Linked DNA regions of Arabidopsis thaliana. The protein of the gene in region 1 interacts with the protein of each later gene in a pairwise test. Each region holds a gene or a part of one and is shown in the gene's direction. Other genes may lie near its edges. The genes, in order: WRKY38, AT3G57800 and AT3G22560.

Region 1 (3,759 bases):
AGACATGGAAGCTACGTTCCAACTACTTGGTTTAATTAGCTAATAAATAAAATTATTAAAAAAATGTATCACCATTATTGTCATGTAAGTCATGTTCACATTCACTTTCCTTTCGCACCATAAAATAATGTGACTTGACCCATAGCTTTGCTTGACTTGTACATATGTGACCCCTTACTCAATATAGTACTAATACCTATACAATATTTAACAATTTGCTAATAACAAGAACAAAATACATGTGGGCAACGTTTCACAGATCAGATCAAAGTCACGTGCGAAAGTTTATATATATATATATATATATATATATATATATATATATCTCTTATGTGTTGATATCTATCAATTTACATTAACCACCCGCAGAAGAAGATAGGGTTGTTAAATTGATGGGTAGATAGAACTTAACATTCTTTACAAACTTTGTAATTTGTTGTATAGTTTCATGAATGGTGTTAATTCATGGCCTGAAAATACCATCGATGTATACAATCTGATAAGGATAAATTGTTTTGGATTGACCATCTATTAGTTTTAAAATATGATTGTATAACTTGGATTGGTTAGCTTTCAGATTATACTATATATTCAAAACAAGCTTTTGTACGTATATTATATCATTTTATCCGCTTAAAATGTAATTACTAATTTTTCTTTCATATAAGATTCAAGTTTACCTAAAGAAAAAGGATTCAAGATTACCAGTTATCTTTTGCAAAGCTTATTAATTATAAATTCTTAAAATTTTAGATTAAATTAAAATATGGACCGAGTAGCCAACGAATGAATCTCACATCACGGCATAGTTGACTAGTTGTTGTTAGTATATAATATAATCAACATTGCTGCTTCGTTCTGACGTCAATCTGCTGAATCAGCCCCTTCAACAAAAACTACGTCATGGGGCTGACGTCGAGTGTCCGACGAAACTAATGCCGTTTTCATTGGTGCATTAGTCGCCACTCGCCAGCTACATCGCAATTATTTCTCTCTTTAAGCGTTGAAAAATTGTCTAGATCTTACTTGTTAATGTTATTCTATTACCTAATAATTATCTTTTGTCTGGTCTAAATACTTACATTTTTATTTAAAATCTGAACCAAAACTCACCAAAAAATTAGATAATTTTACCATTAAAGATATCCACGACTAGTGGAGTATTTTCATTACAAAAAAATGAATTGATCATATCATATGTGTTCGAAGCTTATTATATTGAGCAAAAAAACATTATTTGTACACGTTTCATCTTTGATGAGGTAAACATTGCGATGGACGTGTAAAATATGTTATACTTTTTTTTTTTGTGAACATCCAATCTATTACATACATTTGTTTTTTTTTGTCATATGAACGTAAAATATATTATTTTCAAAACTCTATATTATTAGTTACCGTATAAATTATAATTAAAACCACCTATCAAAATATTAAATAAAAAATATTTAACGATATACAATCAACAAAATTAAGCAAACAAATTTATTCTTAAATTTCATCTGCTATATATTTTCAAAAAAAAAATAAAAAAAATTGCGACACATATTGAAATGGAAAGATTACAAAAGAAAATTTTAAAATCATTGCTAATTTGGGGTTTATCATAGCTCATATCTCTCTCTAATATATCTGACTTTGTAGAACACAGTTTTCTATTAGATTCCTCCTATCTTGAAACCTTTTAGTGTTCTGAAAGGAGTAGTTTTTAATTTTTAATCTTTAATTATTAAGCGAACCGCGTAGATTAGTGTAATAAGAGAAACAGATAAATTCTGAAACAATTAAAAACAGATTGTATATAATTAAGTGAGCCGCGTACTGGGAAAGGTATATAAAATAAACTCTGTTTCCTATACATCATGACAGATCATATGCTAATGTCAACACCTAATCTATCTTTTTGTCTCTCTTTATTTAGATTCACGCATATAAGTCTAGCAGAGCACATGTCCTATATCGAAATTATAATTTATCATTGGCTTCTTAAAATATAACCTAGTGTATGTAAATTATATTTGGTAAACCCAAATTGGCAAAGTCATTTGGGAACGTGTATGTACGACTAGTCCTATAAATTCTGATCTCCCTATCCGTTCAAAAGTTTATAGCACAGAGAAGAGACTTGAGAAAAAGAAAACAAACAAGAAACACATACACACACACACAAGTTCACTATACTCTATGGAAATGAACTCCCCACACGAAAAGGCGGTGCAAGCTATCCGTTATGGCCATAGCTGCGCCATGCGGTTGAAGAGGCGGCTCAACCATCCAATGGCTGATGGTGGACCGCTTTCAAGTTATGATCTTGCTAAATCGATCGTTGAAAGTTTTTCCAATGCCATTTCAATCTTATCTGCTAAACCAGAAACCGAAGATGATCAGTTTTCTGATTTATCTTCTAGGGATTCTTCTCCTCCTCCACAGGGGAGCCCCTCCAAGAAAAGGTATACACTTATGAGTTTGTTTTCTTTTTTGAGTTTGTTTTTGTTTTTCCAAATGAAACCACAATTCTTAATATAAGTATTTTTTTTCTTAGGAGTATATGTTGATTTTAATGCTAATATTTTGATAATACTCATGTTTGCAGAAAGATTGATAGTACAAATTCAAGTGAGAATTGGAGGGACGATTCACCGGATCCGATTTACTACGACGGGTATCTTTGGAGGAAATATGGTCAAAAGAGTATAAAAAAATCTAATCACCAAAGGTAAGAAATAGTATAGCTAATCATATTTCATCATAATTATTTCTATCCCGATCACTCATACTAATTGGTGTATGATGATGGTAACAGGAGTTACTATAGATGTTCTTACAACAAAGATCATAACTGCGAAGCAAGAAAGCATGAACAAAAGATCAAAGACAATCCTCCGGTTTACCGAACCACTTACTTTGGCCACCACACTTGCAAAACCGAACATAATCTAGATGCCATTTTTATTGCCGGACAAGATCCCCTAGATGACTTTAAAAGTACCCAAATGATCCGATTCGGAAAAGATCAGGATCAGGAGAAGGAAAGCCGCTCGAACGGTTTCTCCTTATCGGTTAAGCATGAAGAAGATATCATCAAAGAGCAAGCTATAGATCAGTACCGTGAGATAACCAGTAATGACCAAGATTGTCAAGATGTTATAGAAGAATATCTATCATCACCATCAGGCTCTTATCCTCCTTCATCGTCATCTGGCAGTGAAAGTGCTGACTTTAATTCTGATTTGTTATTTGACAACCCAGACTCGTGGGATCGTTATGATCAGTTTTACTTTTGATTGCACTAGATTTTTCAGCTAAAACTATTTAATAATGTTTTCCTTTTTATGAGATTGTATATATTTGAGAATTGTGACTATTTAAGTATTTATGTTATTGATTAGATAATCCGAGAACAATATTTATATTCACCCCTAAGAGTTTATTTCCGGCCAATAAAACTCTATCATCTAATAAATAAATTAAAAATTCATTTGATTATAAAATATAAATTTCAACCACTTTTTGTGTAAACCTAAATCGATCTATAATCTCGTTTAATTATAAAATCTAAACTCTCATTCATCTTTAAAAGCTCAAAACCGACATTTTAACCTTGTTTAATTGTAAAATATAAATTCTAACCATTCTTTCTAATCCCAAACTCACATTTAACCTCGTTTAATTGTAAAATCTAAATATGTTTATAAACCAAACCCAACATTTAATTTGACCTCGTTTATTTACAAACTAAACCATAATTCTCCTTTACAA
Region 2 (3,759 bases), on another chromosome or scaffold:
GTAGAGACAAAAATAGAGATGTGTTGGAGATGCCGTAAGTATTGTGAAGATAATCCTCACAGCTTTCTCAGCAATAAAAGAAAATATATCTCTTTAATTTTTTATAAAGGTTTTATGTGTGAATATTAAAAACTTTAGTCTCATATGAGTTCGAGACTGTGCTCGGGAACAAATTTTATAAAGATAAATCATCTAAAATTGAACTGCGTTTATAATGGCAAAGACTTTGCATAATTAGAATGTTTCTTATTGATAAAGACTTTGCATGTTTCATACTCATTTTGACATCTAATTGAATAAAAACAGAAAAGAGCCGTATAGCTTCAAAATCTTTATATTTAGAATAAAGTGTATATATGTGAAAGAGTAACACATATGTACGTAGGAATTAGGTTGGTTAAAGAATTGGCCACATCAATATCTGAGACACCAAAGAAGTAATGGACGTTGGGAGAGTAAGTAACGTTGCCAAATTGGAAATGCCAAAAAAAGATTGTACCTTTCCTCTCTTTGATTGAGACTTTACTACTACACCAAACCTTACATCACCAATCGCTGAAAGTGAAACCGATATTTTAGCACATTTATATTCCACTTCTACACCTTTTTACTAAATTTCAGTTTTGAGATTTACTTACATGAAGAAGAAATTGGCTAATCAAAATAATCAAGCAACGATGATTTGTTGCAATGAAATGGAAATTGGGATTTGGGCTCAGATTATTAGAGCATAAGTGGATTTCCTGTTCGGCCCATTGTGTGAAACAGGTTATTCCACTGGACCCATCTGTTCATCTTTGTCCTCAAATTTTCCTCTCTATCCCCAAAACACCCTTTTAAAGAAGTAACATTAATTGTTTTTTTTTTTCCTTTTAATAAATTTATAAGATATTTTGAATTAATATTATTAGTACGTCTCAATTTTTATTTTATTTTTGCCTTTTATACTCTAAAGTTTTTAATACTTGATGAATTTTGAATATTTTTAAAAAATAAAAAAAATAAAATATTTTTAAAAAATTAATATTACGCTTGGTAGATTTCATCCAACGGCTGAGATAATTACTAAAATGGTGTTTTGAGCTCAATTATTTTTCCATATTAAAAAGTGTTTTTGGTTCTTGGTTATTTACAGGTCAACAAAATAATTTGACACCGGAATCGGAGTCCGTGGAAAGTCAGAAAACCTGATGTAACACCATTTATGGCATTAACTACTGATAATAATACTATACGAAAATCCAATTATTATACCGAGAAAAAAAGAAAAGTGGTCAGAGACAGCAGGCTGGTCCTGCTGAAGAATAAATCTAATCTACCGATTCGATTAAATAAATATGTGCCGTTTTCTGGTACGCCCTATTCAAATCATTTTTATATTATAGTATCAAAATACTTCAAAAATTTACTAATTACAAAATTAAGGAGTGATAAAAAAAGTTTATAATCAGAGATAAAAAGTCACCGGTTAAAGCCCAAAAGGCCCAAGTAATATCCATTGGGATCCAGCAAAATATATAACAAAAGAACCGTACCGTACCTACAATAACCAAAATTGGTTTTCTCTTTCTTTTGTCTAACAGTGGCCTTTATTTAACAGACGCACTCCACTGCTAACGTTGCTTTCGTCCTACTCTTCTTCTGGTGTAAAAGCTTTTCTTCCACACACATTTGAGAAAGAAGACGAAGAAGAAGAGAGAATAACTATTCCTTCTTCGCCAAGTTCTCTGAGCTATAGAAGAAGGAGGGATTTCTTCAGACCGCCATTGTTGCCCACCTTCTCTCCTTTCTATTTTTCGCCGCATTTTACTCGCTTACTGACAAAAGTCTTCTACTCAAGTCTCTCTCTCGCTCTCTTTGGAGGCTCAATTAGGGTTTTGTTGTCGTGAGATTTGATTACACAAATTGCTGAATTTGGTTTCGATTATTGGTGTTATTGTTTTCGAAGATTTCCAGTGAGTTTCCGTTTATGGATCTGACTGGAGGATTTGGAGCTAGATCCGGCGGTGTTGGACCGTGCCGGGAACCAATAGGCCTTGAATCGCTACATCTCGGTGACGAATTTCGGCAACTAGTGACGACTTTACCTCCCGAGAACCCCGGCGGTTCGTTCACGGCTTTGCTTGAGCTTCCACCTACACAAGCAGTGGAGCTTCTCCATTTCACTGATTCTTCGTCTTCTCAACAAGCGGCAGTGACAGGGATCGGTGGAGAGATTCCTCCGCCGCTTCACTCTTTCGGTGGGACATTGGCTTTTCCTTCTAACTCAGTTCTCATGGAGCGAGCAGCTCGTTTCTCGGTGATTGCCACTGAGCAACAAAACGGAAATATCTCCGGGGAGACTCCGACGAGCTCTGTACCTTCCAATTCAAGTGCTAATCTCGACAGAGTCAAGACGGAGCCTGCTGAGACCGATTCATCTCAGCGGTTGATTTCTGATTCAGCGATTGAGAATCAAATCCCTTGCCCTAACCAGAACAATCGAAATGGGAAGAGGAAAGATTTCGAAAAGAAGGTTAGAGTGAGAGACAAATGTTTTTACTTTTTTACATTTGATCCTTCGTTTCATCAGATTGATTTTTTATAGGGTAAAAGCTCGACGAAGAAGAACAAAAGCTCTGAAGAGAACGAGAAGCTGCCATATGTTCACGTTAGAGCTCGTCGTGGTCAAGCAACCGATAGCCATAGCTTAGCAGAACGAGTAACTTGCATCTGCCTTCACTAATTTTTCTTTTTTTTGGTATTAATCAGTTGATTAATTCGCTAATTGATCACTAATTTTTGGATTATAGGCAAGAAGAGAGAAGATAAATGCACGAATGAAGCTGTTACAGGAACTGGTCCCAGGCTGTGATAAGGTTTGTCTCTTAGATATAGACGTGTAATCAATTTGTTAATCAATCATTAGGTCTTCATTTGTGATTAACGACATTATATTTCTCTAATTGATTCACTCCAAAAGTAAGAATTTATTATTAGATGATCTAGTCTTTTTGTTAAGGGTCTTAATCCTTCACACCTACTTTTTTTTTTCTTCCTAAAAAGTGGATTGCTTAATTGCTTTTTTATTAAGAAAAGTGGTTCCTGGTGTGCCAAAGTAGCCAGTTGGGTAATTGTGTAGTAATGCCTTTAGAGATCTCAACTTTATTTTTTTATTTCGTGTGGGGAGAAATATCTCACGGGTACACACTTAGCTTTAAGGTTAACTCAGTCACACGGAAGTGATAGGACCTTGCTTTATCGAATTCTTTTTCCATAAGTGTGTTCGTTGAGCTTGAAGATTAGTCTATAAATGACGAGAATGACCTTAGGAAGTGTGCTAGCTGTAATATGCCATTAAGGTTTTGGGTTTAGGGGACAGATTTTGGTGGAAAGATCAAGATCAAAGTGTGTTTTGGGGTCCATCTTTTGATGATAAGTGGGAAAAAAGTTGCAATCTTTCTATGGAAGGTGAGGAAGGGGTAGTATCGTCTCTAACAAGTTCGGTATCTATCAAGGAAAAATAGAAAATGACTCTTAGAAGGACGATTAAAGCAAATGATCCTTTACAAAAATTGATATGCTTTGAGTCCCACATACCTAATTAGTTGGAAACATGATGTGACACTCCCCCAGACAGCTAATTAATCATCCCTGATGTTAGAAGTTAGCAGCAATTATTGGTGTGATAGAGATGATGATATGGAACATCAGTGTTTGTTTAAAATTTGGATTCTATAGGTGAGCTGTGAGGACTTGATTGATTGTTCCTTTAGCCCC
Region 3 (3,587 bases), on another chromosome or scaffold:
AGGAGATGATAATACGTTTTTTTATTCATCAGCAGCATTCATTTTGTCAAACAAAAAAATAAATAATACAAAACACGTTATATTATACAATAATCATCTCATGTTCCTTAATCAAACCAAATAACATACAAAATAACATTGCGAAACATATTGTATTGTTATATAGAATGATGCTGATGAATATAAAAAATGTATTACAAGACGTGGTTAAGATGATGTCCACTTTGTAGCCAAAACCAAACAAAATTGACATTAAAAATTATAGTAATACGAACTGTATTGTATTTAAATTATTATTTAATAATGGCTACAAGTTGGCTGTTGGTTAAGTCAAGGAAAAATAACAGCTAATTGTTCATATTATAAAACAAAATTGAACACAAAACACACAGTATTATATTATATATAGTACCAATTAGCTAGCAAGACTCTGAAAAACCAAACGAATCTGAAAAGATCATAACAAAACTCAAAAGATTCTTCTCCAACCACGTATTTCATCAAGGAAACATGAAGATAGGAGTGGTTTTAGTGTTGCTTACAGTTTTCGTGGTTGTGATGTCTTCTACAAGCGTCTCTGCTCAGTCGGACGAGGACGAGTGCTTGAAAGAGACAGGGCAGATGCAGTTGAATTGTTTCCCCTACCTAACTGATAATCGTATCCATACTCCTAGTTTCGCGTGTTGTTCTGAGGTGTATACAGTAGGCAAGACATATGTTGACTGCTTTTGTCAATTCATCAACAATGGAGGCCCTAGCTTCGGTATCGTTGTTTCCCAAAAACTTCTTGATCTGCCAGAGCTTTGTGGCGTTTATGGTGCCTGTGGCAACGGTAAGAATTTCAAAAACACTAGTTTATGAATAAACACCAATCTTCACTCTTCGCGAATTTATGTTATGTCCATGAAATTGATTGAAAAATCTGTGTACCAGTTGGTGATGGCGTTGTCCGTAACCGAAAGTATTTGAATTGATAGAGTCTTTGTTTCAGTTGAGTCAATAACGAAAGACATGGTCTTCCTTTCCTTGTGTTAAATTAAGGAGCCAGCTTTGCCACTTTCCCATTCCTGGTTTGTAGGAGTTACAACTCCATCTCTTTGTACATTCTATTTAAGATTATTAAAAAGCCACAAAAAGGCAATCTTAATTGTCTAAAGAAAAGCCACAAATCCAAATCTGAGACATGGGAAGGAGATGGTAAACTAAATGTTTCGGGTTCAAACTCAAGAGCCATAGATATAGTATGCACAAAACAGATATCCAAAAGGAAACAAATAACTTATGTCAACTTTATAAAATCCTATATTATAAAAAGAATTTTATCATTTTATGGGACAAAGCAATAATCTATCGTTATGAAACATTGAGACCTAATGTGAGATAAGCTCTTGACGTTAGTAGATATAAGAAGCACAAAATTTCAACGAATGCATGCAAAATGAAAAGTAATGTGTTGTGTTTTTAATGATTTACCTCCTTGTTTTCATTTAACTTGATGCATTAACATACCATTTAGACTTGTTTCGGCTACCTGACTAAATATAGCTCATACCTTTGTTGACTGTTTTGTCAATTCCTCAAGAGTGGAGGTTCTAATCTCGGTATCATCAATGTTAACCAAACACAAGTTCTTCGTCTGCCAGTAATTTGTTTTGGTACGGTGACACTTTTCTTGTCATTCAGTGTAATAACGGTATGAAGAAAGATCATCCTAGTACCGTAGTACGTAGTCTTTATGTTATCTGATGCATCCATAATATATCGTGAATTTATGTTACAGGAAATTGATTGAAAAATGTACCAGTAAGGTGATGGAGTTGCAGGAGATGCATAACGGGTTTAGGAGGACATCTAACCGAGCGTGTGTCACAATATATTGTGTTGAACGAGTCTTTGTTTCAGTTGTGTCAATAATGTGGTCTTCATTGTGTTAAGGAGCCAGCTTTCTCACTTTCTCATTCCTGGTATATAGGAGTTACACTCCATCCCTTTCTACATTTGAAAAAGCCTATAAGAGGTAATCAAAATTCAAAAGCGTTACTCTCTGTTATAATTTGGATTTAAGTTCTAAATCTGAGACCCATCATTAACCGATAAGAATAGGCCCAAATCATTAATGGGCCTTTCAATCCTAATAGAATCATCACTTCCAAATATTTACATTTGTTGCATTTTTTGTGTATATTATTAGATTATAGTAAGAGATTTATAAAACTAACAAAATTTTACATGATCATGGAATCACCAAGAATCTTCCTCCGGCCGTTCAATCTCTCCGATGCAGAAGACGTCTTTAAATGGGCCGGTGACGATGACGTCACACGTTACCTCCGTTGGGACTCCGTTAACTCCTTAGAAGAAGCTAAACAACACATCTTAAACAAGGCTATACCACACCCATGGCGCCGTTCCATCTCTCTCCTCCAAGACGGTCATTCGATTGGTTACGTATCCGTCAAGCCAGACTCCGGTGATGGTCGGTGCCGAGCCGACCTCGCATACGCTGTCGCTAAAGAGTTTTGGGGGCGGGGGATAGCCACAGCGGCGGTGAGGATGGCGGTTGAACAAGCTTTGGAGGATTTTCCGGAGGTGGTGAGGCTACAAGCGGTGGTGGAGGTGGAGAACAAAGCGTCCCAAAGGGTTTTGGAGAAAGCTGGATTTCGAAAAGAGGGTTTACTTGAGAAGTATGGTTTTAGCAAAGGAGTCATCAGAGACATGTTTCTCTATAGTTACGTTAAAGATGATTGTTTTGTGTGATAGTTAACGGTAAAAATAATGGAGAAAGTAACTAAATAATATCCGGTTTTTACCGTAATCTGAAATGTTACAATATCAAACGTACGTTAGGTTTGAAGAGATAAAGATGATTACGGCAACAAATGATGGTTGTCTACATGTTCTTGTCATGTCATAATTAAGTTTAAGTCGTGTCGTGTGTCTACGGTGACTCAACCACATATCTTTCTTTCTCTGAATTCTGTCTTGTTCGTGAAAATAATCTCTATAGTAGTAATCTTAACGTCATGAATTGGATAATGATATTGACGAAAATTTATATATGAATGTGAAATGTTAATGGCAAATATATCCATTCTTTTACAAGCTACGGTAATTAGTTTATTTTTTGATTTAAGATACTCCCGTTATTTCAAAAAAAAAAAAAAAAAAAAGAGAGAGAGAAAAAATTCTTCTTTGTCGCATAGATTTCACAAGTTGAAATTGAACGGTCAGATTTTTGAAAAATCAGAACTTGTAAACCACTAAAACAAGAATACTTATGTGTTAGGAATAGATAATAATAGTGGCATGGCGCCAGCAATTACAGAACAGAAAATATTCGGCACTATATAAGTCGGATGAATCATACACTATACATGAAAACAATTAATATTTGGAACATAAAAGTCGGTCCATATATTTAATTATTCAGGAAGTAATGCGAAAAAAAAGTGTGTGAATGAAAGTCTTTGAGAAAGTATCAAGTAGCACGCATGCATCTTGAACAGAAGTCATGCATAGTGTCGTCAAAATCAAATTGATATATGTTTTACAATTCTTGTCCTATCAAATCTTAAATGTGTCAACCT

Evidence for each region.
Region 2: the proteins of WRKY38 (region 1) and AT3G57800 interact in a two-hybrid assay, tested with the Arabidopsis thaliana proteins (one large-scale study listed by BioGRID).
Region 3: the proteins of WRKY38 (region 1) and AT3G22560 interact in a two-hybrid assay, tested with the Arabidopsis thaliana proteins (one large-scale study listed by BioGRID).

Annotation. Positions count from the first base shown.
Region 1 is NC_003076.8:7,495,133-7,498,891, reverse strand, and holds WRKY38 (WRKY DNA-binding protein 38), read left to right. Parts: upstream 1-1,901; 5' UTR 1,902-2,184; coding exon 2,185-2,450; intron 2,451-2,593; coding exon 2,594-2,716; intron 2,717-2,803; coding exon 2,804-3,284; 3' UTR 3,285-3,437; downstream 3,438-3,759. UniProt on the Arabidopsis thaliana protein: Transcription factor. Interacts specifically with the W box (5'-(T)TGAC[CT]-3'), a frequently occurring elicitor-responsive cis-acting element.
Region 2 is NC_003074.8:21,409,532-21,413,290, reverse strand, and holds the start of AT3G57800 (basic helix-loop-helix (bHLH) DNA-binding superfamily protein), read left to right. Parts: upstream 1-1,678; 5' UTR 1,679-1,969; coding exon 1,970-2,515; intron 2,516-2,587; coding exon 2,588-2,701; intron 2,702-2,792; coding exon 2,793-2,858; intron 2,859-3,354; coding exon 3,355-3,450; intron 3,451-3,720; coding exon 3,721-3,759.
Region 3 is NC_003074.8:7,998,085-8,001,671, reverse strand, and holds AT3G22560 (Acyl-CoA N-acyltransferases (NAT) superfamily protein), read left to right. Parts: upstream 1-2,119; 5' UTR 2,120-2,229; coding exon 2,230-2,757; 3' UTR 2,758-3,047; downstream 3,048-3,587. Other genes in the region: AT3G22570 (Bifunctional inhibitor/lipid-transfer protein/seed storage 2S albumin superfamily protein), read left to right, coding at 511-832, 1,583-1,596; AT3G22565 (uncharacterized protein), read right to left, coding at 1,570-1,755.